4 linked regions of the Mytilus edulis genome follow. The main gene of each other region encodes a partner of the protein of the gene in region 3 in a complex. Links are inferred from orthologs where the notes say so. Each region holds a gene or a part of one and is shown on either strand. Other genes may lie near its edges.

What was found.
Region 1: smad nuclear-interacting protein 1-like (region 3) and RING-type E3 ubiquitin-protein ligase PPIL2-like share a complex: the UniProt entries of both Homo sapiens proteins name them as parts of the minor spliceosome. The link is inferred for Mytilus edulis from reciprocal best matches to the Homo sapiens genes SNIP1 and PPIL2.
Region 2: smad nuclear-interacting protein 1-like (region 3) and pre-mRNA-splicing factor ATP-dependent RNA helicase DHX16-like share a complex: the UniProt entries of both Homo sapiens proteins name them as parts of the minor spliceosome. The link is inferred for Mytilus edulis from reciprocal best matches to the Homo sapiens genes SNIP1 and DHX16.
Region 4: smad nuclear-interacting protein 1-like (region 3) and spliceosome-associated protein CWC27 homolog share a complex: the UniProt entries of both Homo sapiens proteins name them as parts of the minor spliceosome. The link is inferred for Mytilus edulis from reciprocal best matches to the Homo sapiens genes SNIP1 and CWC27.

What each region holds. Positions count from the first base shown.
Region 1 is NC_092349.1:71,243,592-71,250,891, reverse strand, and holds the start of RING-type E3 ubiquitin-protein ligase PPIL2-like, read right to left. Parts: upstream 3,014-7,300; 5' UTR 2,971-3,013; coding exon 1,417-2,970; 3' UTR 1-1,416. UniProt on the Homo sapiens protein: Has a ubiquitin-protein ligase activity acting as an E3 ubiquitin protein ligase or as an ubiquitin-ubiquitin ligase promoting elongation of ubiquitin chains on substrates.
Region 2 is NC_092345.1:3,144,942-3,151,803, reverse strand, and holds the start of pre-mRNA-splicing factor ATP-dependent RNA helicase DHX16-like, read right to left. Parts: upstream 3,013-6,862; 5' UTR 2,880-3,012; coding exon 2,682-2,879; intron 1,217-2,681; coding exon 1,082-1,216; intron 623-1,081; coding exon 543-622; intron 1-542. UniProt on the Homo sapiens protein: Required for pre-mRNA splicing as a component of the spliceosome. Contributes to pre-mRNA splicing after spliceosome formation and prior to the first transesterification reaction.
Region 3 is NC_092353.1:19,625,976-19,633,671, forward strand, and holds the start of smad nuclear-interacting protein 1-like, read right to left. Parts: upstream 3,007-7,696; 5' UTR 2,904-3,006; coding exon 2,829-2,903; intron 1-2,828. UniProt on the Homo sapiens protein: Required for pre-mRNA splicing as component of the spliceosome. As a component of the minor spliceosome, involved in the splicing of U12-type introns in pre-mRNAs. Down-regulates NF-kappa-B signaling by competing with RELA for CREBBP/EP300 binding.
Region 4 is NC_092344.1:100,219,355-100,227,155, reverse strand, and holds the start of spliceosome-associated protein CWC27 homolog, read right to left. Parts: upstream 3,028-7,801; 5' UTR 2,941-3,027; coding exon 2,899-2,940; intron 24-2,898; coding exon 1-23. Other genes in the region: protein SREK1IP1-like, read left to right, coding at 3,258-3,264, 4,675-4,740, 7,193-7,327. UniProt on the Homo sapiens protein: As part of the spliceosome, plays a role in pre-mRNA splicing. Probable inactive PPIase with no peptidyl-prolyl cis-trans isomerase activity. As a component of the minor spliceosome, involved in the splicing of U12-type introns in pre-mRNAs.

The sequences.
Region 1 (7,300 bases), on a different chromosome or scaffold from region 3:
AAATAATAAATGGAAATGCATCAAAAATATACATTTATAAAACAAATATACATCACTCTTTCACCTCAAATAATGGCAATGATACAATCACTTAGACACAAAATTCAAGTTTTTCAATCAACAATCACTGAATGATTTTTTTTTATTTTGTCATGTTTATATATTATTTAATTAAGGATTTAAAATAATTGTAAAAAATATGCATATAGAAATTACAAATGGATAGTATACATGGTATATACATGTATGCATTTATGGTGCAATTTTTTCTTTTACATTAACATAACCAGAAAACTTATTTTTTATGACTTTAACAATAGAAGTATGTAATATATATCTATTTGATTACAGAAAAATTCCCATGGCACACTGTTAAAGTTAATATAATCTTGATAATAAAAAGGGATCAATAATTAGTAAATCAAATTACAAAAATAACTGTCATTTAGTTGAAAATTCACCAAATGTGCATTTGAAGATGAACGGGAACGTTATGGTTATCACGTTACACGTAAATCACTGATATTTAAAAATCTTTAAATATGTTAAAATAATTGCTAATGAAATCAAATATTAATTTAAGTCATGCCTCTGGAATTTGTGGATATTTGATTTTGTGGTTTTGCCAATCTCTGTATACAAAGCCTATTCAGATATGTGTTGTTCATTGAACATTTGAATTCGTAGTTCATCTCTACCCATGAAAATTGCTATACAATGAATAATAATGAATCCAAAGTTGTTTTTTTAATAAAGAAATACTAAAATTTAGATGAGCATGCATACATTACATGTATATATGGCAATGAAAAAATTAAAATACATGTTACATGAACAAAATTGTATGTGCTATTCATGCCATTAAAACTTGTATCTGATTTATAATAATAATCAACATTTTACTTTAGTTTAATTGCATTTTGTATTTTAAAGCCCCCACTTTTTTTATTTCAAAATGCAGAATGGCAGAATTAGAACGTTAGTTAATATTGATAAAATTAAAGTTTTTAAGATTGTATCATCATCATCATCATGATGTTTATTGAACATGTTGAATTTGAGTCTTCAACATGTAATTTTCTTTTTATTATAGTTTCTACTTTTATGACTTTTGGATTACTTGCCTCAGATCAACTTAAAATTACAAAATTATATCTGAGAAAGGGGAATTGAACAGTTCAGATGTCATCTATGACATGTACATTTGTATGATTTACATGTCATGCATGTATTAATCATGTTAATGGCATAATGATAAAATATCTTTATGTGACAAAATATCTTCATATTTTTATGAAACTTGGTATACATGTACATACAATGTACATTGTAATTTCATTTTCACCTGGTAACTTTCAGCATGAACATGATGAATAAGGTTAAAATTAGTCAATTATAACATACATGTTTATATTTTCACCAGTTACTAAAGTTCCCTAATTTCCCTGGTACAAATTTAGCTTTCTTTTTTTCAGTCTCTGATTGCTCATCGCCTCCTGATCTTTTCAAACTAGTTTCACTTCCAGTCGAATTAATGTACTTTCCAACACCAGATTTGTAAACCGTAGGAGTACCCTCAGCTGCAACCTTCCTCTTCCTTTCTTTTTCTAGCTTTTCCTTTTCTTCTTTTGCCTTCTGAAGATCTTCTTCTCTTTCTTTTTGAAGTTGTTCATCTGCTTCTTCATATGGATCTACAAACACTGCACAGTCTTCGATTATTATGTCTTCCTTTGGCCTATCTTTCTTGTCTGTCTCAATGAGTTCTACAGCATCTAGTGAACCTATTCCACCTACAACTCTACCAAATACTGAGTGTTTACCATCTAAATGATGAGCTGACCTGAAAGTGATGAAGAACTGAGATTTGTTTGTGTTTGGTCCAGAGTTTGCCATACTTAAAACTCCTCGGCCGGTGTGTTGTAAATTTGGTTTAAATTCATCTTTGAAAGTTCCACCCCATATTGATTCCCCGCCAAGGCCTGTACCAGTAGGGTCTCCTCCTTGTAGTACAAAATTTCTTATTGAGCGATGAAACTTTGAACCTTTGTAGTACTTATTTTTACAATGCTTCAGAAAGTTCTCACATGTTTTTGGGACCATATCACAATAAAGTTCAATATTCAGTGGACCATAATTAGTGTCAAGTTTGACGTATCCTTTCTTTTTCACTCTTTCATAACGCAGTATATCTTCATCAATAAGAGCAGTTTCATGTTCTGTGACGGGATTCATTGCTGTTGAGGTAAATGATGCTGCAACTTGACCAGTAGAATAATGAGCTGCATTGAACTTATCTGCTTTGGCCATTGAAGCTTCCTCCTTTACTGGAGCTTTGTAAGTTTTTTCAAGCTCATCAAGGACAGATTGAGTCATGGTGCTTGCAGATCTGATCTTTGACTTTGAATCAGCTTTGTCTTCATTTGTAACCTTTAAATTATGTTTAAAATGGTAAAAATTGGCAAAATTGCATTTTTCCACATCTGTGGGGTCCTGAATGTTTATGATGTCAGCCTTTGAAAACGGCTCGTCAGATAAAAGGTCTTTCAAGTGATTTGGCTTGAGATTAAGTTTAGCCACTGCGTTTTTGCTAAACACGTTACCTGTTGTTTTAATAGCCACGATGCTAGAGTTCTGATTAAAAACCTGAAACGTAACTGGGCAGTGAAATTTATCATCTTTGTTTTTATAAAAGTTCAAATGGATCAGATCTTTTGCTGTCATCTTTTCTCCGTTTACCGGATTCACGCCGTACTTTTTCAGAAACGGAACAATGTTCATGATATCGAAAATGACGCCGTCTTTGGTACATAGTGGATCTTGAAAAGGTTGGAACGATAAGCTACAACAGTAGAAAGGTAAACGTCTAAATTCTGCAGATTTCTGAAGCTGACCTTTATATCCTCCGAATTCTGTTCTCCATTCAGTAGATGTAAGATACAACTTATCTTTCTGATGTTGTTTTTTGCCCATTTTGCTTGGTCGGAAGTTACTGTATCATGATAAAGAAAAGAGTGCACTGACGGGAAGGGAATGCGCGAAGTTCCGATACCCACATTAACTGGCCACCCGCTGATTGATACTTCGACAGATTGAAACAACAGCAGGGGTCCAGTTTAATACCCACATAGTCGGAAGCAAGACAACTCGCCTCCTGTAAAATCGTCCCAAGTCGCCCCATTTTTTTCACCAGGTCGTCCCACTTTATAGATAGTCGCCCACTTATGAAAAAGTATTTCCCGTTAAATATACTCCTTCCAACTCTCCCCATTTTATAAATCAAGATATAAAATGATAAAGGTCCGCCAACTCGCTACTGTAACGTAACGGTACCCAAATTGCACCGAGTACCCAAATTGCACCTATTTAGCTAAAATAGCAGCGGACATCTAACAAGATTTCCTAGAGACTAAACAGTAAACATTTTGTATTTTTATGATTTGATACTATGCACATCTTTCGACATAGGTAAATATATTTAGATATGCACAAAACGTTCACAACAGTATTTATCAATAGATGAAGTGTTTACTGAAAAAGCAAAATGAACTGAAACGTCGCCATGCCGTCATCAAAACGTCATCTTTTTAAAATGATGAAATACAATATGTTACAAGTATCCATTTAAAAAAAATGAAATTAAGCATGGACTAATATCCAATTGTTTAAAATATTTGAAGAAATTAAACAAAAGCTCTGTTATTATTAGACTTTTGACGATGCGAATTTAAGCATAGATGCAATTTGGGTACACTTCTCATTTCAGAATCATTGATGGTTTGGAGGTCAGTTTAGACCCTTTTTTCTAATATATGATTCAATATGAATTAAACATCAAATTGGTGTTCCAATATAATAAAGAAGGATACGGCTAGAAATTAAACACAGAATGGACATTTTTGTCTTTATCATAAAAAAACGTAGATGAAAAAACTGTCAAAAGAGGTGTAATTTGGATACCGTCACGTTACACTTAAAATGAAAACTTATATATCCAGAATAAACAAAAAACAAACGAAATTTAATATGATATTTTTTTTTTATTGAAATGATGTACTTTTGTCAGTTTCACTTCTTAAAATATAATTGCAGATACATTATTTATGACATTTATTATTATATAATTTACCTATTTATTGGAGATGGAGAATAACTTTATTCTTGCAAGCTAAATTATTTGCAAAATAATTGCAAAAAAAAAATCTATTCATTGTATCATAATCCGATATATTTGCATAACAATTTAAAGTGAAATAGTGAAATAATCACTGATTCTCTTTTAGCAGCCAGTATGGTTCAATTTTGTCAAAATAAGATAAGAAAAATAGATGGTGAATTCTTCACTTGCAATAATTCGACCTCATTGAATCCGTAGAAATGAATAACGCATGCACTGTCCGTGTTCAGTTATTTAAAGGAAATGAATGTCAACATTGAAAGTGAAATAAAGATGAATTAGTTAATTATATGGCGTCCAGACTAAAAAAAAACAAGAAAGTATGCTAATATCTTATATACATTAGTAGATATATAAATATTTACAAGATATCAGTCGAGCTTATTAAGAATTTGTTTAACAGACTATCTTTTATAAAATTGAAAATGGAAATGGGGAATGTGCCAAAGAGACAACAACCCAACCATCGAAAAAAACAACAGCAGAAGGTCACCAACAGGTCTTCATTGTAGCGAGAAATTTCCGCACCCGGAGCCGTCCTTCAGCTGGCCCCTAAACAAATATATAGTAGTTCAGTGATAATGAACGCCATACTAATTTCCAAATTATACACAAGAAACTAAAATTAAAATAATACGAGACTAACAAAGGCCAGAGGCTCCTGACTTGGGACAGGCTCAAAAAATGCGGTGGGGTTAAACATGTTATGAGATCTCAACCCTCCCCTATACCTCTAGCCAATGTAGAAAAGTAAACGCATAACAATACGCACATTAAAATTCAGTTCAAGAGAAGTCCGAGTCTGATGTCAGAAGATGTAACCAAAGAAAAAATAAACAAAATGACAATAATACATAAATAACAACAGACTACTAGCAGTTAACTGACATGCCAGCTCCAGACTTCAATTAAACTGACTGAAAGATTATGATTTCATCATATGAACATCAGGCACAAATTAATCCTTCCCGTTAGGGGTTTAGTATCATACCATCATAACATATATGAGAAGAATATAACCCGTGTCATGCCAACAACTGGTTTTTGAATAAATGTGTTTAGTTCCGATGCAAAGACCCTATAAGTGAATCAATATTAACGCCAAAATATGCAATCTTTATAATGACCTGACAACAGTATCGTAACTATATCCCTTCTTAATAAGTCTATTCAAAGATTTTGTTAGTTTTTGAGGTGAATACTGACACCTTTGTGCTTTATAAAGAATATTTCCATAAAAAATTGGATGTGAAATACCTGAACGTATAAGAAGTCTGCATGTTGAGCTATATTTAAGAATTGAATGCTCTTTTTTGTAAATTTATTGGGGTGTAAAAGCGTTAACCGAAGTACATTTTGTATGAAGCGCGGAAGTATTCAAGATATCTTATATACTTTTACAAGATATCTGATTATCCCGTTAAGATGATATCTTGAAATTAAATAAACAGTGATAAATTCAAATTAATTTAAAAAAAAGTACTTTTAAAAAATACCTCGCAGTATAATGCGGAAAACAATCATCACTGGTAGGATTTTCGATTCTTTATTTTATTGTACGCTACTGTTACCCTAGCGAAAAAGCCAAAAAATAAGGAAAGAGAACATCAGTGGATAGAAAAGAAACCAGTATTTCGAGGAAATATTCTCGATTTTCATGCAAGAGGAGTAAGACTGCTTAAACAATTTGTCATAATCACAAAGGTTAAGTAACTTAAAGAATACCTTTTATTGTATAAATAGACACGAATATGTCATAATTAGAACCTGAAGTAATACTTTCACAATGCCGCATCTCTATTTATTTGTTTCAACTTTCACTTTATCCTAAAGTCATAATGAAACCTCAAATCAGGAACATATATATATAATATGAGGCAGGCATTACCTGTGAATACACCTTATCGCTAATCCCGGCTGACCCGGCCACTTGAACTTTTGACGCATACAACAATCACTTCCATTGTGGCGTCAGATATTTTGTTTTATGACGTCAAAATTTTACGGGAACCTGTGTGATTTCCAGTAATGACGGACAAATAGCGATAAGGTGTATGGGGACAGAGTCTGTATGAATTATTTTTTTTTGTAACTTACATATTTGTTAAAAAAAAGAAACGGAAATACTGCATTACTGTAACGTTTCCGATTTTGGTTCTGTTGTTAGGGATTTTACTTGTGACGTTATTTAAGTTATGAGGTCATGTTCAATGTAAACAAAGAAAGGCAATGCATCAGGTAATGTTAATTCATATCAAAGACAAAGAATTATTTAAAATGAATTCTAATATGACGTGCTTCTTTAGCTTTGTAAAGAAACCGTATACTTTATTATCCAATAAAATTAGTTTACACATGCGTATATTGACTACGGCAGAAAAATAAATTTCGTCAAATTGGTATGCATTTAATGTATTTCCTTAAATTAAAGCACTTTCAAACACTAAAATGATACACATTTTGTTACTAATACTTTTCCAATAACAACAATGTGTTACAATTCGTAATTGTCATAGTTGACCTAGAAACCACAACGTTCATGTTGGCTGTTCTAACTTCAAAACCCCTCCCTCGTTTCATCTCTCCTGTTAAAAAGGCATGTCATTGTATATAATAATTTCATTGAAACATATGTTCCGACGATAAAATATAAAATAAAGTATAGGTTATTATTACTGTTGTACTGAAATGACAAAATTGTTTCATATTTCTGATAAAATGGATTGACCCTAGCAGGGAATCGAACCCCATTCTCCTATAAAAAGAAATAGGCGTAATTACCAATATACCACCAAGGTTTCCAATCCATTTCACAAATGCAACAAGATTGTCACCCAGTATTAATTTAAATCATCATGTTATACAGCATTTGAAACCGTCAGATGCACAAAGGGCACCAACTTTACAAGGTGTAGCCACCGCAAGTATAAATGGAGATCTGTCAAACTGAAAGGGCCCCTCCTGCCAAGTCTCGAATGTCAGCAAAACTTTATCAAGGAATCCTCTATCAGATATGAACATATTTACCAATGCTACAATATCAACCGGCGGAATATTTACGATTAATTTAGTAAATAAAGACCTACCCGATTCTCCTTGTGCAGTGGCGGATCCAGGGGGGGGGGG
Region 2 (6,862 bases), on a different chromosome or scaffold from region 3:
AAAACAGCTTTTAACTTTGATTTTTGAAACAAATGACACAAAAAGACATTTACGCAGCCTTCCTAATGTTATTAAAACCATCTTGAAGGTAATAATAACCCCATTAAAAAAAATTACAAAAATTTTACAAAAAATAGTTTTCTGTTGAAGGACTGGGCATGGTTTCTGCTAATTATTGAAGGCTTGTATATGTATTTGTGTTTAGTTGCTGCTTGAAATATCTTACATTTTTCTTCAATTTAAAGGCAGATTGATTCGAGAGGGGGATTTGTTGTTTGAGAACTTTATAGCTTTTTCCAAATGACAGAACAGCAATAAAAGCATCATTTATGTGCTAAAAAATTGTCTGCATAATAAAACACTTATTTACAAGTTAATAGCAAGTTTATTGTTCTCATACCCATAGCCAGAAAAAAAGTGTATACTGTTGATTTGTAATGTTTATACAAATTGTACATGTTTGTTTTTTAGTTTTCTGTATCAGCTTAAAAATTTGCATTTAGGAATGGAAGTGTAATTTTTTGGTTTGACTAGACTCCTACCTATCTGGATTTGCATCACTTTCATCTGAAGATTCCTGCTTCTTACGTAAATGCTTCTGTCTTTTTTCTGCCTTCCGTCTCTGAAAGAAATTAATGTGTTTCTAGCATTGCTCAAACTTCAGCTTGAAAAGTAATAAAATTATAACATATTGTATTTACACCTGTAAACAAACATATGTTGACATCTAGTCGATTTCATTTGGTTTGTGTTTGTTTAGTTGCTGTCTCATAGCTTGCCCAAATGTTTTTACTGTGGATTCATTATTATTCATTGGATACAAGTTTTCATGGATTTCATTGGTACAGGTGAACCACGAAATCAAATGTTCAACGAATGACAAATTTTCTGTTGGCTTGTATGCAGACGTTGGCAAAACCACGAAATTAAATATCCACAATTATACATTTTTTTCTTAATCAATGAAAATAGGTACCCACGAAAATAAATGAATCCACAGTATTCATGATTCTGTAAACTAATTCAAATCTTAATGTACACCACCCTTTTCTATATATATTTTTAGGATAGAGTTGTCTACCTTTGGCTGGACAGAATATTCATCCTCCTCACTTCCAGACGATACAAGTTTATAACTCTGGTTCTTCTTTTGTAGCTCTAATGATTGCCTTTCTAAAACTCTTCCTACTTTTTCTGTTACAGCTTTTCTTGGTGCCTGAAAATATTGATTAAGAACTTATCCTTTTTTTCGCCTTTGGACATTTTGTAGAACATATCTACATATATTAAATACACAATAGTACTCCAAGCAATAACACACAGACTACATAGTATTTGGGTTTTTTTTAAGGATTTTTGAATAGATACATGTTTTTTGTGTAATATATTACAAAGTCTTGACCTGTTGGAGAATAATATTTCAGCATTAATCATGTCAATGGCAATTGCATTTAAAAAAAAAAACAGGTGAAAGATTAATCTTTTTTATATCCAAACACATTATTGTTTCAGATTATCATTAATCAGCAAAAACTTCATAAATACCTATATGTGAATAATAATATCAATCAAAATATTTATTTGTTTGTTTGTTTGAATATATAAAACTAAACGCTATTCAATAATAAAATTCAATTTATACTTGAAGATAAGGTCAACAACGTCCTGGGATAAAGGAGTCAACAATGCAAGACATGACATCCATGCTGTGTCAGCCATACCATGAAAAGACAACAGAGCCATACTTTGATAAGACACACCATCAATAGCTTTTTTTCGCAAATAAATTTTATTTAAATTCTAAAAAGTATTGTGATATATACAAGTAGATGGTAAATTATATATGCTGTATTTACATTATTTGTTATGTTTTTTATATGCAATTCACTTAGAATACACATTATATATATATATATAGCATATAATATATAAATGTGAATTATTTATAGCAACTAGCTACAGTGTATCTGCCATATGTATTAAGGGAAGCTGTCCAATCACGCTTTCTAAACCTCAGGAGTCATCATATCATTATGACTCTTATAACAAAATATACTAGCTAAATATTCTATCTAACTACTGTGGTGTCACGGAATAGAAGTTCCTGCATAATATAAGTTCCAAAAGGAAAAAATATTCTGGAATATTATTTCCACAAGAATAAAAATCACAGTATATGTTCCTAACGGAATAAATTGTTTAGAATCTTTGTTCCAACAGGAATAGATATTATGACAATGTTTATAACAAAGTTTCCATTGGAACTTCTGCTAGGCGGAACAAATATATGTTGACAGAGGGATTCTTTAATTGGGCACCAATTATAACCCAGGAGAACATGATTTTGTTGGCAAAGTCACATAGTCTCCTCCTGGACTTGAGCCCTGAAAATCTGTGGTGTGTGGCAACATTTGGGGCAAACCCGTTACAGATTAGAGTCTGTAGAATCATGCTCTACAGTTAAACTAAAAAGTATGGACAATGTGTTATTTGTAGGTTTTGCTTTATGGTCGATGCATCCTATGGACGTCATGATTCATGGAAGTGTCACTGTGGGGCTGTCTTGTCTCGAAAGCATCGCAGAGGGGCATTTTAAAAAAAAGTACATTCGAATGAAACCTATGCTATAGGTGTCCAACAAAGCCTTGGAATAATTCTATCTACAAGACTATTTAAGTTACCCTTTCCCATAACTCCTTCGCAAATTGGATAACTTGTGGATTAATGTCAACTGCTTCAGTTTCTCTGAGGTTATCAATGAATCCATCTGAGCTTGTTGCTTTTTTACACAAACCAATCAAATATTGTGAGATGTATTTGTCCGATATTCCTAAGATGTCATGCAGTTTGTCGCTGACCCATGTATCAAGGGATGACATTGCTAACTACGAATGTCTTCGATGAATATTATGAGAAATCATGAACTTTATTTGTTTGTACTGGAGGCTGACATATTGAAAACGATTCCACACGTTTTCGTGACGTTTTGTGCATGACAAGGGACGTAACTGCAAATTTTAAGGGGGTAACACGAATTACCGAATAACAGTGTTATTATCCGAATAACTCATGTAATTACCGAATAACTCTTCAAATATCAATATTAACACATTTAAGTGACTTTTAAACATATATTATTGAATAAAATTATAATAGAAGTGTATTTTATAACCTAAAAATAAAAAAAAAGTTGCAGGTAAGTTAATATTGATCATTATAAAATTATGGATATCGGTGTGTACTTCCAAGATGGCGACCAAGGAAAACGTAAGAAATGAAGAAAAGAAAGATTGCATACAATCCCTCAACGTGTTCATCTTAGACCACCAAAGTGGAGCCCTCACGCCACGTCACGGCAATGAACAATGTGAGGGTGGGCATTTTTTAAAATAAAATATGGAATAGTAAACTATTTAAATTAGTTTTTGTTTTAATTTTAGTTATTAAAAAAATATTATCTTTATCATATTTTTATATTTGTGATTTAGAAATGGATGTTAACTAAGCCTTTAAATCTATAAAATTACAACTATTAAGATATCCTGCACAAAGCACGGGCTTATCTGTCATAGTCCGCGGAAATACTTTATTTAGAATTAATTGTAAAAAAATTATAACTACTAAGATATCCTGCACAAGGCACGGGCTTATCTGTCATAGTCCGCGGAAATAATTTATTTAGAATTTATTGTAAAAAAATTATAACTACTAAGATATCCTGCACAAGGCACGGGCTTATCTGTCATAGTCCGCGGAAATACTTTATTTAGAATTTATTGTAAAAAATTTATAACTACTAAGATATCCTGCACAAGGCACGGGCTTATCTGTCATAGTCCGCGGAAATAATTTATTTAGAATTTATTGTAAAAAATTTATAACTACTAAGATATCCTGCACAAGGCACGGGCTTATCTGTCATAGTCCGCGGAAATACTTTATTTAGAATTTATTGTAAAAAATTTATAACTACTAAGATATCCTGCACAAGGCACGGGCTTATCTGTCATAGTCCGCGGAAATACTTTATTTAGAATTTATTGTAAAAAATTTATAACTACTAAGATATCCTGCACAAGGCACGGGCTTATCTGTCATAGTCCGCGGAAATACTTTATTTAGAATTTATTGTAAAAAATTTATAACTACTAAGATATCCTGCACAAGGCACGGGCTTATCTGTCATAGTCCGCGGAAATACTTTATTTAGAATTTCAACCTGAAAACATGCGAAACAATACTGAACTATTTTCTCAATGACTCCACGTGCAATGTATTTTGTTTAAGAAGAGGGTTTTTTTTAACATCGAATGACTAAAATAATCCAAAAGTTCTTACATATTTTATAATTTACAAATTCGAATTTGCCAGAAGAAAGCTTTTTTTAACAGGAAAACCCAAATTAACTTTATTAAAATATCTTTTTTTAATAATTTTTTATTTTAAATAATCAAAAATTATTGGTGAAACATTGAACATTATTACCCTTTGACAGAAAACTAACATAGGATGTACATATTGTATATAGTTGTAAATATTTATTTGTGTTCTATTTTTCATTATTATAATTATTGGTGTTGGTAATGCAGCCTTGGTATACCAAGACAGTCACAAGCCTGTTTAATGCAGAGTGTCCATACTGTAATATAATTTCATTATCTCTTAATGATTAATTATGTAATGGGCACGTGTCAGTAAACAACAACCCAATTAACAATCTAACAGAAGTGTGAGGTAATGATTATTTTGTTTATTGGAACTAATTAACTCATTATCACTTTCAAATTATTCAATGTATGAAAATAAATAAAAGTAGCAATAAAAAAAACGTAAATACTAATTTTAGAAGAATATTAATTGAGTATTATTTTATTATTTTTAATTCTGATTTTTTAGTAATTTAAATTAAGTAAATTAAATACATTTTAAATGAAATAAGAAATAAATGAAATATAATAAACTAGGTGAAAGGTTGTCTTCTTTGAAATTAAATATTTTATTTTATTTTTCTTGTACCATGTTTCACTCTCTATTAATAATATAAAAAACCCAATTTCGCATTTGTATAGCTTATAATAAAAGGTATGTATGAAAATTACTTACCTTTCTAACGCCTTGGCCATGTCATACTTGTTGTCTGTAAAGCAACAGTCCTTACAAAGGAACTTTAGAGACACATCTGACCAGGCCAATAACAATGCATCATCCATTGGGACACAAGCACTGTGAACCCAACGATCACAACAACTGCATTGAATGGTGCAATCAACACATTCTTCATCACATTGAACACACGGATATAAAGCCATTTTGAAAATGGAAGACAGCACACATGTATTCATGGCTTTTTATACAAAATTAAAGTGACTTGTAAAAACATTTATATTTGCCAATGAAAATCTTATATTTAGTTTTGAGAAAATTTTATTAGAATAAACATAAAAATCATCCATTCAGAAGCTTTGTTTTTATTAAAACAATCAATTATAATAATTTTTTTTATTAGATTTGAATTGAATATGTGAAAATTCTTAATTACATTTTATTTAATGTTGAGTAAATTGTTATGAAAAGTAATTAGTGATTGGAGTAACTGCATTGCTTTGATGTACTGGTTAAATTTTCAAATCCTTTCTGAAAAACAATTATTAGACAATTCTCTGTATATACAGTAAATTATTTAATACTATATTTTCATAGCGTTTTCCTTTGAAGGCATATATGCAATCTTTCTTTTCTTCATTTCTTACGTTTTCCTTGGTCGCCATCTTGGAAGTACACACCGATATCCATAATTTTATAATGATCAATATTAACTTACCTGCAACTTTTTTTTTATTTTTAGGTTATAAAATACACTTCTATTATAATTTTATTCAATAATATATGCTTAAAAGTCACTCAAATGTGTTAATATTGATATTTGAAGAGTTATTCGGTAATTACATGAGTTATTCGGATAATAACACTGTTATTCGGTAATTCGAGGTACCGAATTTTAAGGTGGGTTTGATTTATTTTTCCAACATTCAGAAATTAAAATAATTTGGATTTGATTAAATGTAATATGCCATTTAAACCTAAATGAGACTATAGTTATATTCAAACACATTTTTTTTCCTTAAATATAAATTCGCCGAAAGAAAGTGTACAATATTTTTTACAACATTTCAGTTGGTAGTCAGACATTCCTTAAATTGTGAAAAGAGCTCGCGCATGGTGACTGGTTAGTATATATATTGAAAATAGAAATTAGTCTACAGTGAATGTTGTCATCCTTGAAATGACCAATGAATAACTTGCTGTGAGTGTGAATTTTTGTAAAATATAAGTTGAATTTTTAAACAATTCCTCGGTCATCACTCAACAGAGCGACAAAGTCTACTTCAGTACTTGTCAGTAGGATAAATGTGTCCCCCTTTTCCGCAGTTTAAAATTCGGCCTTTAAAAATTTTTTTGACGTCTTGAAAGGCTAATTTATTTTGTCTCTTACGACATCACAACATTGAAATCCTTTGTTTTCCTCATGACAATTACAGAAAATTGCTTTGAAATATTTACTGACGGTAGGCCTAGTGTCACCTATATTCGTGGACATAAGGCTATTCAAACAAAATGCGGTTAAACTATTCAAACAAAATGCGGTTAAACTTTTTGTTGATAATGTTACCTTAGAACTTCATTAAAATAATAAATTAGTTTGATTCTTTCCGTTAGCTAGTTTATTTGATATGACCTACATTTCTAGTGTACACAAATTGGCATATGATGCCAAGTACATGTACGTCACCTATTTTCGTGGAAAAAGTTCATTCTAAAAATAACACAAGAAGAACAATCAGTATGGAAGCCCAGTGGTGAG
Region 3 (7,696 bases):
GAAAAAAAAACAATTAAAAAATAAAAAATTTAAATAACATTAAAGACAAAAAAATTATAATAAATTAACAGAGTAAAACAATATTTTATTCTACATTTTCAAAAAAAGGTGAAATGTCAATTTTAATAAAAACCCAAGTCACCTGTACAGGTAAATTTTAATGAAACATACCAGCTGAAAACTTCAACCCTGATTGATTTTAACAGGTAACATAATTAGATAAAAAATCTGCCCATGATTTATGACCCCCAATAAATGGCCAACATCTCAAGATTGAATACCCCAATAAATGTTCACCATTGGATGTTGACCATGCAAGAGGGTGGACATAACTAAGAGGAAGTCACAGGCTGTACTGTAGCTCTAGCAGACTAGATAAGGAACGATCTGTAAGTTCTGCTGATGACACAAGAGCTATAAAGTCCTGTTATTGAAAAAGGAGAGTTTCAGGGTCCATGTCAAATGTATTTGCCAGAGCTTCTTTCTCTGTATAACCATACATAGTTTCACTGTTGTCTGTTCAATTCAACAAGCATCTCCGTATATTTCATGTTGAGCGTATCTAATAAAATCAATAAGTTTGTCAAACCGGATTTCAATCACAGGCACTTGTTTCTATTCATATTGGAATACCCCCTATCAATGTATATTTACGGAAATATACGTTGATAGGGGGTCTTCCAATGGATAAAAACAAGTGCCTGTGATTTCAATAAGAAAATTGATACAAAAATCGGACTTTCGAGAGCTCCGCAATCGGCACAATAAAATAAAATTATTTCAATTTTGTTAGTTTATTATCAATTCAACAAGCATCTCCGTTTACTTCATGTTGAGCGTATTTAATAATATCAATATTAAAGTTAGTCAAAACGGATTTCAATTTAAGACAAAATGATATAAAATTCTGACTTTTGGGTGCTCCGTAATCGACTGAATTTACAATAGAAGAACAATTGTGATATTTGATAGAAACCTTTCTTCTGCTCGATTTTTCATAAAGGTAAAGAATTAAATTATTTTTTACTCTTGATGGTCATTATTCTTGAAAAAAGATGTAATAGACTGGCAGCCAAGTCTTTGATATTTTCTTCTTGTCATTTCCGAGTTGGTCAATTTTTCTTTTTTTCGTCGGCATTTTGCGTGTTGACCTATTGGAATGATTCTTTTTAAATGAACGTTATTTTATAAATAACAAATACATTAGAAATGAACACCGTTCACATTTATTTTATAAATTCTATTTTGCATCGTCAGGTGTTAAAATAATCAATTCATTTAACTTCGATGTTTGGTGCTTCAGGGCAAAGGGATTAGACAGGGTCGTAAATTTCACCTGATTAAGTAATTGACTCCAATCAAATAGGTGATTATATACAGGTAACAAGTGTCAACAATTTTAATCTGTTGTCTTAATGAAGTGTGTGTGCATAAAGAACTCAAGAAAATGGCGACGATATGAGGAAAAAAGATCGTTTTTTAAACTTTTTTCAAAAGGGCACAATGGGGCGCAGGGGCGCTTAAAAAAGGCAGAGGGGCGCAAAATTTCGGGGGCGGGGCGCCCCTCCATTTCATGCTACATTTGTAGCTGGAACACTGAATGATGGTATCGGGATCGTTCGCCCTGATTACATGTTCGCCCTAGGTTCGTTCGCACTGAGTTTGTTCGCCCTGGTAATCCGTTCGCCCTGGGTTCGTTCGCCCTATTTTCATTTATGATATGTATATGTTACATTAATGAAAGAAATATATATTTATATATATTAAAATTTATGTATATCTATAAACAGTTAAATACAGCATATTAATTAAATAAAATTCTTGGCTGCATTGTTACACTTTATTTTATAATTACTTTTAATTACTGTTGATTGAATTTTATTGCTGATTAGGTACATGTATGATTTGAAATCTTTGGTATCACTGATTGGTATATGAATTGCCTTTGATGGATTGATAATGAAAATAACATTTTCTCAAATAAAATAGTCGGCTTGGATGGGTAAAAACACTGATGTACAAATTGTTAGGCATGAACTTATAGCCTAGTAGCAGCTAGCTGTAGACAACATAATACATCGTAAATATTCGGCGAAATTGTAGACCGACTTCAACATATTTAATTAAATACACACAACACAACACTATACTAAAAATAAAAATCGTAAATATTCGGCGAAATTGTAGACTGACTTCAACATATTCAATTAAATACACACAACACAACACTATAATAAAAAATAAAAATCAGGGCGAACATACCCAGGGCGAACAGGTATCAGGGCGAACGGTCTCAGGGCGAAACGGAACTAGGGCGAACTGTAATTAGGGCGAACCGAAATCAGGGCGGACGGACCCGGATTCCTGAATGATGAAACCATACAAACAGATGATTTTATGAAATAAAAGTATGTTATGATTTTGTTCACACAATATTATCTAATTATTGGTTTTATCAGTTGAATGAAGTGGTCATAAGTCTTAGATGTGCGGATACACTGAGGTAGGCCGGATCGATGTGTTGCCGGATTGTCATGGAAGCAAAACAGGGAATACCCCACTTTTCCTGACCTGTGTTCATGGTGTCTAACCTGTTCAAATAATAATTTATAGAGACTTGGTGATCTCTAACAGGTCAATTGCTGCATATCATGGAAATATATATTAAGGAATGTCTATGTTTCTTCATATTGCATATTCCTTAATAGGTTATTAAATATGGAAAAACAATTTTCAGGATCATATGGTCAACACCAAATAATTTACATTACTCAGTAGGGTTCACCGTTGACTGTGTCTATACAAATAAAAGATTTTAAGCTGATTACTTTCTCCGGACTAGAGGAACGATGTCGTTGTTTCTTATGCTTCTTTTTCGCTTTTGTCTCATCATCTTTGGCCATAACTTTAGCTAATATCGTCGTTTGAAATACGATGAAAGAAAAATAAACAGGAAGTTACGTACGACGACAGCGACACCTGTTCAAGTTTTCTAAAAATAGAAACAGGTATCGACTAAGACACGTAGATAATCCGCATTATCAATTTAGGTATCAGTGATTTAGCCTGTGACTATTATAAAGTGGTCCATTTACTTAAGGACCTGTCATTTTCTTTCCTTTATTTGGGCAGGGGTACTAGAAGTCGATTTTGAAATTTCTCTTAAATTTTCAAGTTCTAATTTGAAAACGGGAAAAATCCACAAACACCCACAAGCAAAAAAAAAAAACATCCCCCAAAAAATGTATGACAAAAAGCACTAAGGTAGTTTACCATGAATGGGGCTTAGTTAACGTACAGCGGTAACTATTACATGGAGATTCAAGCGGATTTGTATGTGCTTTATCCGATCCGCAACCTCCGACACTAAAGGCGAGCCGGCACAATTTCATCATTTGCGACACCATTGATACAGTAACCGCCAATTCAAAATCCCTATCTGTTAACCAAGTTTTTCGATTTTCATAGTTTTCTGCCGAATATTTCAACTTAAGTTTAACTTCATAGAAACCAGGTACATGTATCCTGAATTGTACACTGTATCACCTTTCTACATATGCCAGTTTTCATCCCATGTTTCAAGTCTTTCAAGAAAAAATTGCATATCGGAAGATAAGCACTACTAAAAGTATTAACACCTGTTTTTTTCTGGAAATATTACATTAGTATACTATTGAGCTCATTAATCCTTAACTTAAATGCAAACTCATTGACAAGTAAATTTTGGATGAAATGGTCTAAATATATTTTTCTCTCACCAAAATAATCGTTTCTGCAGATTTGATGGTTAGTTTAAGGAAATAAAAAACACTACTTTTTGTCAGAGCATGGTCTTTTACATACGTTCTAAATTGTATGTCGTACATTGGTGGTCTGACTCCTAAAGCCGGGCAGCATATATCCATCAATCATTTTACTATTATTATTCAAATAAAAGCACATTACGTTCAGTGGCGAATACCTCTTTTCTCAGTCCACGTGTACATGGGCCAATATGCCATTTTATTCGAAATCCAATTCATATTAAAAAAAAAACTACAAAGATAATTCCAAAACGGTATTATCAGTTGCATTCTGTTTTAAACAAGGTTAATTTCGTTTTCAGTAAGAACTAGGGTATTACCTTTTAAAAAAAAGTTATCTGTAATGGATCGAGCTGGACACTTTCTGAATGCCCTCTAGGTTTTCATGTAGCGCGTTGTGGTATTTTGTGACAAAACAAACAATCATCTGAAAATAATCGTACAATTGTGAATTGCACCAGGCAGGATGTACATTAAAATAAAGCATATGAACAGTATAGGTCATAGTACAGTACCATCTGTTCATGCTTTTTTTTTTAGTTTGAAGACACGAATCACATATTTCGTGAATATAATTAACTTAGTACACCCACGAAAGAATACACGAGAAGCCCTGTGTTCACAAGGTTTAATTGGCCAGGTTACATTCTCATTTAGAACACACACAAAAATAAACAGTCAAACAGTGATGGATATACGGAGTAATATAATATATATTTAAGACCTTTCTCCTACCTTATAAAAAAGAAGATGTGGTATGATTGCCATTAGTCGAATCGCAAGTATAACTCCATGATAACAATGTTTTCATGATGACTTAATTTTATTGAAAATGATTTGTTTTGTGGTTTATTCAATCAAGGACAACAACTGATCGAATTATCGACACTAACTAAAGACAGGTACAGGCGTTTCTACCTCAGGAATAGATTACCTAAGCTGTATTTGGCCAAACTGTTAGATTTTTTTTGGTCCACAATGCTCTTCAACTTCGTACTTTATTTGGCTTTTTTAACATTTTTAGATTCGAGCGTCACTGATGAGTCTTTTGTAGACGAAACGCGCGTCTTGCGTAAATATAAAATTTCGACCCTAGTATCTATGAATAGTTTATTTACATCCACTGCGTCGATGCCACTGCTTGTGGAGTTTTAATTCCCCGAGGGTATCACCAGCCCAGTAGTCAAACTTCTGTGTTGACTTGAGTTATGATAATCATTGATATGTTCATAATTATAAATTAACTTAAAATTTCAATACTGGTATCTATGATGAGTTTATTTATTAGAATATGATGGAGTTAAACATGTTTCTATGCGATAAATCCTTCTTTAACACGAGACTGTTGTGAAACAGTACACCATCAGAACAAGCTGTAAAAACAGCTGAAACGGGCCTTACTTGTTAAATTATCAAGGCGAATGTCACTAACAACGTCAAAACATTGTGAGTTGTTGATAAATTGACCAAATATCAGAGGACTAGTATATTCTGTATTTGGTACAGAGTACTGCATACATTTTCAATAACAATGCCACTAACTTCACGTTTTTATTTCATCTAATTTGGGGAAAAACCGATGGAAGTCTTGATACATTTTTTTATGTACCATATAAATCATTCAAAACATACGATAACAAAAAGCAACTCATTTAAAACCTACCAAAACTTAAAACAAGACACTTAAAATCAAAATATCAATGTGATAAACAAACAAAAAATGATACGAAGACAGTACAATACCACCAAAAACAACACATAAAATTGATGTAAAAATTAGAGAATATGAAAACAAAAATCTAGAATATTTATTGTTTTGTTTCCATGGAAACCACATACAAATATAAATATTCCTCAAAAAATGGATTCTTGTCATCAATATAGATATTCAATCCTTGAGTACTCAAATATACAATATTGAGGTGGAACACATTTACAACATTCCAATTTTCCAAAGAAAACAATTAATCAGAATTTTGTTTGAATTTCCGTATTTTTCTGATTATGTATTATCGTACGCAAATACATGCCAAATATGAACATGTTCGAAACCAGTTGAAATATCATCATAACGTTTGTATTCCTAGTAAGCACATTAATAGTATTGACAAAGGGTTGAAAAAAAAATGAAAATATGTATAAAAAAAGTAAAATCACATAATACTGAACTCCAAGGAAAATTCGGAAAGTCCCTATAATCAAATGGCAAAATCAAACGATAAAACACATCAATGAATGGACAACAACTGTCATAATCCTGACTTGGTACAGGCATTTGCAAATGTAGAAAATGGTGGATTGAACCTGGTTTTATAGCGCTTAACCTTTCACTTGTTTGACAGTCGCATCACATTTAATTTACAACGATGCGAGAACAAAACATACACAATATGTAAAAGAGTCAAAACATGGATACAGCAGTCATCACTGTGTCACAATCTCAAAACAAATAAATATTTAACAAAAGAGCACAAAAACATCTTTCAAATTTAAAAAAACACACACATTAATGCCGTTCAATGTTTTAAAAAACAATATATGCATAATTCCACTCCCATCTGGACCTATTTTCTTAGTCACGGTCACATACTTATAGGCATATGTTCCAAACAAACTGCATTAGTTATTATCTAAAACAGTATTCACACATTCCTATTAAGACAAAAATAAAAATACATGTGTCAATATATATAAGATAAATGTAAACAGTTTTCAAGGTGTACAGTCTGTTCCCAGAGAAAACAATTTTCCAACAAATACTAAGTCAGGCGTTTCATCTGCTATGTAGTTCTGAAAACAAGGATACAAATTGAATTTTGTAGCCTAGAATTCCTAGCTTTTTTGTTTCCCTTTGTATCTTCGATAAGCTGAACGTGTTCAACCAAATACTAAGTAAGGCGTTTCATCTGCTATGTAGTTCTGAAAACAAGGATACTTATTGTATCTTGTCACCTAGAATTCCTAGCTTTGATTGGTTCCCATTGATTTTTTGATAGGCTGGACGTCTTCAACGACTTCACGTAAAATATCAGACAGCGAGGAATCACGTTGATTGGCACCTCCTTTTTGTAATTGTATAATCAGTTCGAGTTGTTCTCTGTAAAAGTTCAATCAGAGTTTTCAATTATTCCATTTGATTATTATGCGATTTTTTTTAAATGCAACTATAGATGACGTCATGCAAAATTGGACCAAGTTTCTTGATCAAATATTTTTTAACTATCAAACGCCATCATTCGAGCTGATGTTTTTCACTTTTGATTAATGTGTAAGCGATTTTACACAATAAGATAGGACAATATATTTTTTGTTTACATATTATGTTCCGTTAAGTTAAAACCGTATCGAATGAACGGGATTGATAGTTTAAAATATTTAATAAAAAACCTGGGTCTAATTTTACATGATGGCGACTATAACACAAACAGTACTAATATATATATGTATTAATTTGACAATAAAGAATCATAAAGAGCACATAGGAAAACACCAATAAAGTACAAAATGTAACTCAATTTTCACAAATTTTTAAAAAATGTTCAATAATTTCATTCCCGGTAAAATTACAATTGTCCTTAACTTGACCGCAATTCTAATACATCAATTTAATTTACGTTAAAAAAGCTCGGGTAACCATTTACCAAAATAAAGTTACTCTATTACCATTTTGTCAGAGCATGTTGCTACATGTAAAATCCATAATCGAACATGAATCTCACTAGATCGAATATCAACAAAATAATGTGGTGGATTAAATTCCCAAATTCGTTAAGAATTATAATAGTTCTTTGATTTACATTTTGGGAAAAAATATATATATACTCACTGGATTTTACCAAGGGTTGATTCCTGACGAGCAAGTCTATTTCGGACTGTTAATAAATTCATTTTAT
Region 4 (7,801 bases), on a different chromosome or scaffold from region 3:
CCTACACTTGTATCTAATAGAACCTACAAATAGATTTAACATAATACAGATGGTCATGTTCATGTGAATCAAGTTGAAACAGATTAAACATTGAGACTCTCAACTAGGCAAGCTTTTCTACATTGTTTGAACATAAAATTATATGAGGCTTCACATACAAGTACATGTACATGTAATATAGTCTAATAACCTTCTTTTTTATATCTACTTATCTCAAAGAACAAGGTTTGTGCTCCTTCTTTTATCACAATTCTTAGATGAGATATACTTCTGATTAAACCTAATTTCATTAACTAATGTTTTCTTTTTCTCAGCTACATTATATTCACTAGCTCAAGTAGTTATGCGCTAAGTAACAGATGAAAATATATTTTCAATACTTGAATGGAATGGAAAAGTTTTATTATAAAACATATGATATGTGCATAAACTTTCTTGTAAATGAACATCCTAATCTTCATACATGTACATGTCATAGCTAACTGCTATTTATTTATTGTCGTGTTCCAATACTCAAATTTGATTACAGCTTTTCTGTATGGAGTGACCTTAACCATGAGCCGTTTATATTAACTTCTACAACCAATGAGCACAAGTGTGATGGAAAAACCTGCACTGACAGAAATCGTTTATTGCATGATATCATTATAATGTCATTAATGATTGTTCAAGTGTACCAAGTTGTTTATTCAATAATGAAAAAGTATTTTCAATTCTTTTTACACTAGAGACATTTTTATCTTGTTGTTGTTCAAATGAAACAAGTCAAAGGTATTTGCTGTTAGAAATCAAATTTTTCCAGGAAAAAGAACCTCTTATTATGCTATCAGGTAGGATAATTAGAAATAAATATTAACAAATAGAATATCTCCATTTTGAAGATCATGTATTGGTACATTCTAAAATTTTGAATTAATGAGAACCGATTTAAAAACAAAAGTTGGAATATGCTACAGGTGTCGCCACTCTTAAAAAAATATTTGTAAATTTGAATCTGTCCAAAGAAAGACCACTTAACTCGTCAAGAACATAAATCATTTAAGTTTTGAAGATAGGTTACGTTCATTGAGCTTATTTACTTAATCACCATCTTATTATAATGTTACAAAATGTATACGAAAGGTCACTCCTTAAAAAACTTTTTAAGAAACATTGTAAGACAACACATACTGACATAGACTAAATACTTTTTCAATTAGAGTAGTGGATCAGTGGAATAACCGGTCTGATTTAACAGTGACGGCAAAGACCTTGAATAATTTTAAGTCAGTTAAATGGCAAAAATTGGAACCTGTATCAATTTATATGTTCCTGTCAATTGTTAACCCTCTTACTGCCAGTTGTTTTTCAAGGTTGCATTTCATGTGCCAGAAAATACGACCGCTGGATGTTTGTGACCTCAGATGTCCAAACACGACGTCATCTGATACAAAATGTATATGACATCACGACAAGATGACCGTTACATTCAGGTCCCATTGAAATTTGAAGACAAATATAACCTTGTCAAATATTTGATCTTTTATTTGAAAAAGATACAACAATGAGGAGAAGCTTGCATAAATTAAAACATGGACACCTAAATAAATTTTATTTTTTTTATAATACATGTATATATAAAACCTGCCAAGTCTCACGCATGTGTGTGCTTTTTTTTTTGGCATTTTCTTTTGATCTACATGTATTGTTTTTTCTCTTTGATCTTTTCAATTTTGACAAAATCTTACACATTTGCTTCACGAAAAGTTGGCAGAACTGTAAAACTATTCTAATTTTTCTCCTTGTCATTATGCAATTATTATACAATGAGAAATTGCATTATGACCATGATGACAAAATTTTTAAAAACTTTAAAAGGCAACCAGAGGAAGCAAGTAAATATCTTGGAGTAACCATCAGTAACAACCTAACATGGGATAAACACATAGACAATACAGTAGGCAAAGGAAACAGAACTTTGGGGTTTATACGTAGAAACCTCAAAGGCTGTACAAAACCTGTAAAGGCAGCTGCATATGTGTCCATGGTAAGACCTGCAGTGGAATATGCAAGCACAGTATGGGACCCAACCGCTCAAAATAAAATCAAGGCAATTGAACAGGTTCAGAAAAGAGCTGCACGAATTTGTGAATAACAACTACACAGACCGAACACCTGGCTGTGTCACAAATATGGTTAAAAATCTAAAGTGGGAAAGCCTCGAAGAACGGAGGAAAACAAATAGATTGTGCATGCTATTCAAGATCCAGCATGAACTTATAGATATAGACCGTCACAAATATTTGACACCGAATGATAACCGGACCAGAGGTAAAAACCGCTTCTTCCAAGAAAGAACAAGTACAGACACCTACGGCCAATCTTTCTTCCCGAGGACAATCAGGGACTGGAACAACCTACCAACGACAGTTACAGCGACCAACACCGTTGAGGGATTCAGAGCTGCCCTGAAGGCATGCTCTGAAAGGAAGTAGGAAAACCAGTTGTAAATAATTTTAATTGTATATTTTTCTGCGAACGTTTTAAATGTAATTTGTAAATAGCCAAGAGAAATCTTTCTGTGTTGCCCGACACTGCGTAAAGTTTTCGTGCGGAACCATTAACATTCAGCAATGAATCTGGTTCCTTACCTGGAAGAAGAAGAAGAACCTCAATCAAGCATGCACCAGAATGTAATCTTCAAAATGTTGATGGTTTTCTGTAACTAAAGAAGAAGGAGAAGAAGAAGAAGACATTCCAAGATGAGGTGTCAGTAAAATTCATTGGCTTAAAATATACAGATAGAAAGATAGTAAAACAGCTGTTGTTATTGATATTGTCAACTGTCTGCTGGAGTTATAATATAGCAAGACTGTTTACTTTTTTTTTAAACAGCAAAGTAAAACACTAATTTTCTACCTTTCCGCTCGTAGGCGGTTCTTGTATATAAATATTGCTCATAGCCTGTCAAACAAAAACAAACTAGACCATTAATTTGAAATGTCAATGGGCGCAGCCATTTTGTTTAGGTCTAACTAAAAGATAAAATAGTAAATGATGTATTTGTATAATAAACTAAGAATTTCATATTCAAATTCATAATATTCATTATATTTGATTATTTATGGGATTTTTTAAACAGAATGTAATTTCGTAATAATCATGGAAAGTTAATGTTGATTTTCTTTTAGTTTTGACTTGAATGATACCAGATTATCTCCCTTAGGTACCTAACCAAAAAATTTAGACCATTCCGCAGTTTTACGATTTATGACACAATGCAAGGTAAACAAAGAAAGACAAATTTGATACAACTTGTTCATGACAGGAATCAAATAATAAACTGGATTGAATCATTTTTGTCAAACAGAACACAAACAAAAACAGTAGTCAGTACTTTTAGAAAGAGTCATCTTTAAAAATTATACCAGTCACATGATCAGGTGTCACACTGGGTACAGTGCTAGGACCAATACTATTCTAATTTACATAAACGACCTCCCAAAATACATCCAACATAGTAAAATCCGACTCTTCGCAGATGACAGTAATAATGAGTATATGAATAGGTAGTGTATGTACGTACCTGCATGTGAGGTATGCGTAGCCAAATTGGCCTTTGTAGGCTACGGCTACGCACACCCGCCTCCAGTTTTATAATTTAATGTCATCGGATCAGGAATAAATTGTAAAATTAACTCAGAAAACATCGCAATAAGTGAGAGAATAAATTGATTACTCACAGAGATTTTAAGATTTGAAATGTCAATATATATGAAAAAAAAAGTTCTACGCCTATTATTATTTTACGACGTACCGTGATACACTTTCGTAAAAATATGCATTTATATTTGATTTCTATTTTTCTAACTAATACATTAAAAACAATTTAAAAAATATTATTTGCTATTATCTTCACAGAATTCACAAAATCAGAAAAATAACCAATAATTTTTGTGTATCTTTCACGTTGCTTTCCCAATCATATGACACTTTCTTATAAAATCGGTTGCGGGTACACATAGCCTAAAAAGGCCAATTTGGCTAAGTGTATCCGTATGCAGGTACTCGCAGACAGGCGCAGACACTGCCATATATAAATAAAACATTGGACGATAGAGCAGATTGGGATACAACTAAAAGTTAAATCAGCACCCACAGAAAAAGTCAAATTGGCACCTTGTTAAATCGACATCTGGTTAAAAATAGGCACCCATTTAAAGTCAATTTGGCATCCAATGACAGATTGTTACCAAAGAATACAGTGTCAATCACTACCAAGCCAAGATTGACAATGCTTTTTTGAGGGTTACCAATCTGCTCTATCATCCTCTCACTATGTGTTACATGTATTTAATTTATTATGCTTAAGTTAATGTCCTATCATTATTGTCTAACAGATGAATTTTATTTAAAAGTATTTTCTAATCCATGAGGTCACATACATTATAACAACTTTGCGGGTATTTGAAAAATCATCAAAAGTGAAGCAAGATATTTTTTTTTTATTATAAAATAATGATATAATCTATCGACAAATAAAATCTCTATTAACATGTTGAAAGAAGTCCCTTCGGGTTTTCAATAATAAATAGCAGGCAAGATATTCCAATCTTTTAGGTCTTATTATTTGATTTTAATCTTTGACTGACATGACTGATGCCTTATCAACATTATTTTTTTTAAAACTTTTAGGCATAGGCAGCAAATACACCAATAAAAATGATGGACTTAAACCAGCCTGTAAAAAATGTGGATATGGTATGTATAGCAGATTGTATTGTATTTAATACTGAAGAGTCTTTATATGGGATACCAAATTTTATGGAATTTGTGGGTAAATGCAAGGATTTGTAAACTAATCCTTGGTATTGGTAAAACAAACTTTTTCATGTTTAACAAAGTACAAATATTCTAAAGGCTTGTAATAAGACATTGCAAAAACCTTGAAATCAAATACCACTATATATTATTTTTACTATAGTATCAACAAAAATAAATAAATTCACAGTATTCAGCTGTGTACCATTTAACAGCATAGGCAAGTTACTATATCTTTTAAAACTTCATGATAATCATGAAATAATGTAGTTTGTTTATTGCTATATACATTCCTCACTTGCATGATCTTTGTTTTTAATTTGTCACACTGCTCCCACTTGCGACATCTCAATTCACAAGTCTTTAATTGACAATGTGGATTGTTCTGGTTTATTTTTTATGCCCCACCTACGATAGTAGAGGGGCATTATGTTTTCTGGTCTGTGTGTCCGTCCGTCTGTCCCGCTTCAGGTTAAAGTTTTTGGTCAAGGTAGTTTTTGATGAAGTTTAAGTCCAATCGACTTCAAACTTAGTACACATGTCCCCTATGATATGATCTTTCTAATTTTAATGCCAAATTAGAGTTTTTACCCCAATTTCACGGTCCACTGAACATGGAAAATGATAGTGCGAGTGGGGCTTTCGTGGACTGAGGACACATTCTTGTTTTAAAATATTCAGGCATTATTTAATTTTTATTAAAATTGAATGATTTTTTTTTTATCTAAATAACTGTCTACTTACTTCTATTGAGCTATTATATAGAAAAAATAGTTAATTGAGCAGTTGAGACATTATAGCATTCTTATTTCCGTATCATAAGACGTGCAGTGTAATGGAAATCTTTTACCAGCCATGACTATTTCATTCCTATTCCTTTAAGTATAATTATGTTTTCTTTTTATGCCTCAACCGTAGGCAACATGGGCATTAATTGTTACCCTTGACTATCCCTCTGTCCATCTGTCAGTCCTTTTGTCTGACCCATTTTTGTTTTACCACTCTTGGTTATGTTTTCCTCATCCAAACTTTCTGAAAGTCATACATGGTGCTAAAAACCAAAAGTGGCAGACAGAGATCAAATTTGATCACAGAGTCATTTACAGTTAGTTATGCCCTTTTATAAGTATAACTTGGAAATGCAAGTCTGTTCATGTTCGCACTCTAACTTAAGTTTGCCTCATCCAAATTTTAAGAAAATCATTGGTAGTCCAGTCAATCTAGCATACATAAGTTTTAATCTTTAGCATTATACCCCAAATATACACAGAAAAAAGTCCTATAAAATATAACTTGTGGAAAACTAAAAAATCATGATTTTAAAATTCCTATGGAGATTTGCGTTCATATGGGAGATAACTCTGCAAAAATGCAGAAATATCAATAAAGATTGATAAAAAGTTATAACTTTACCGCTTCTATTCAACAGAATGTATTGATTCTTGATATTTGAGTCATCTTTAGAGTATAACAAAGAACTCTTAAGGTATTATCATATCTTTTATCAAGCTAGAACCTAGACTTCATAATTAAATAGTTGACCATTTATTAGATTTTTCAGCATGTTAAGGTAAAGAATCTCAAATTGAATAATAAAACTAATTAAGCATATATTCCTCTTTTTGTGGTTTAAAGTTTCTATGAACAAGGTAGATGCTGAACAAATATAATTTACAGATAGAAATAATACCAAATATTCATTTTTTCAAAATGGTCACTAGGCCATAAATTTGCAATTTTTTTAATGAAAATGTGCAAAAAGAATTAAAAAAATATGCATAGCACTTCGGTTTTGTACATTTCATGAGCAGAAGATTATATAATATAGTCAAATACGAAGTTATAACTCCATCAAAGTATCATATATTACATGAATTTTAAGAAAATCAAACAAAAACTGACATAAAAGTCTCATTTTTGCTGAGTTATCTCCCTTTCCAATGTTAATTTCTATAAGAAATTAAAAATGCAAAATTTGAGTTTTCCTCAAATTAGATTTTATGGGACTTCTTTCTGTATATATTTGGGGCTAAATGCTATAGATTAGAATTAAAGCATTTTCTGTTGCAATTAGTTTGAGGTTCAAACTTAGTTTGACTGGACTAAAGGTATTGCTGATCATTGCTGAAAACCACAACACGCAGAGTTTAAATTCTGGCAATATTTCATTAACCTTTCTAGAGTTATACCCCTTTATACTTTGGAAAATTGTAAATATTTTAATTTACTCACTCTAGGTAAGTTTTTATTTAACATGCAGACTAAGTTCTAATTTGGGCAGTGAGTCATTAAACGTTTTGATAATTGAAAATTGCAAAGCTTGAGCAAGGGCATTCATGTCCTTAGAATGCTTAGACAAAATTTCTTATTTTATTTTCATTATGTTTTTTAGCTGGACATCTAACATTTCAGTGTCGTAACTTTGTGAAGGCAGATCCTGGTAAAGATATTGTTTTAGATGTCAGTAGTACTAGCTCAGATTCCTCAGAAGATGATTTTATTTCACCACTCAGTCAGTTTCAACAAGGTTTGTTCATCTGTTTATTTTTTGTCACTGAGTTATATTTTGAGGAGATCTTGTCGCTAATGCATTGTAATACATGTATATGATCAGCTATAACTCATTTATTTATAACTTAATGGCATTCAATTATAAAAGTTTAATAACAAATCTATTGAGTTAGTGAACAATAAGGAGTGTATGACATGTACATGTATGAGGTGTTTAAAGTTTTTTACCAGACAAAATTTGTCACTCAGATCTAGATTTACAGTTACATATACATTATCTCAGTTTAAATTGTGTTCTTATTTTCAATTATTTGATGTCTGTTACAAAATGTATTTAATTGGATATAATGAATCAGCTTTGATTAACTCTGAAATGCTGTATCAGTTCAAGCTTTCCCAGGTAACCATGTTATTATATTATTTAGTTATCATTTATGGGAAGTTAACTGACTTACAATTATATGAAAGATAGATCCATGTGGTTTTTATA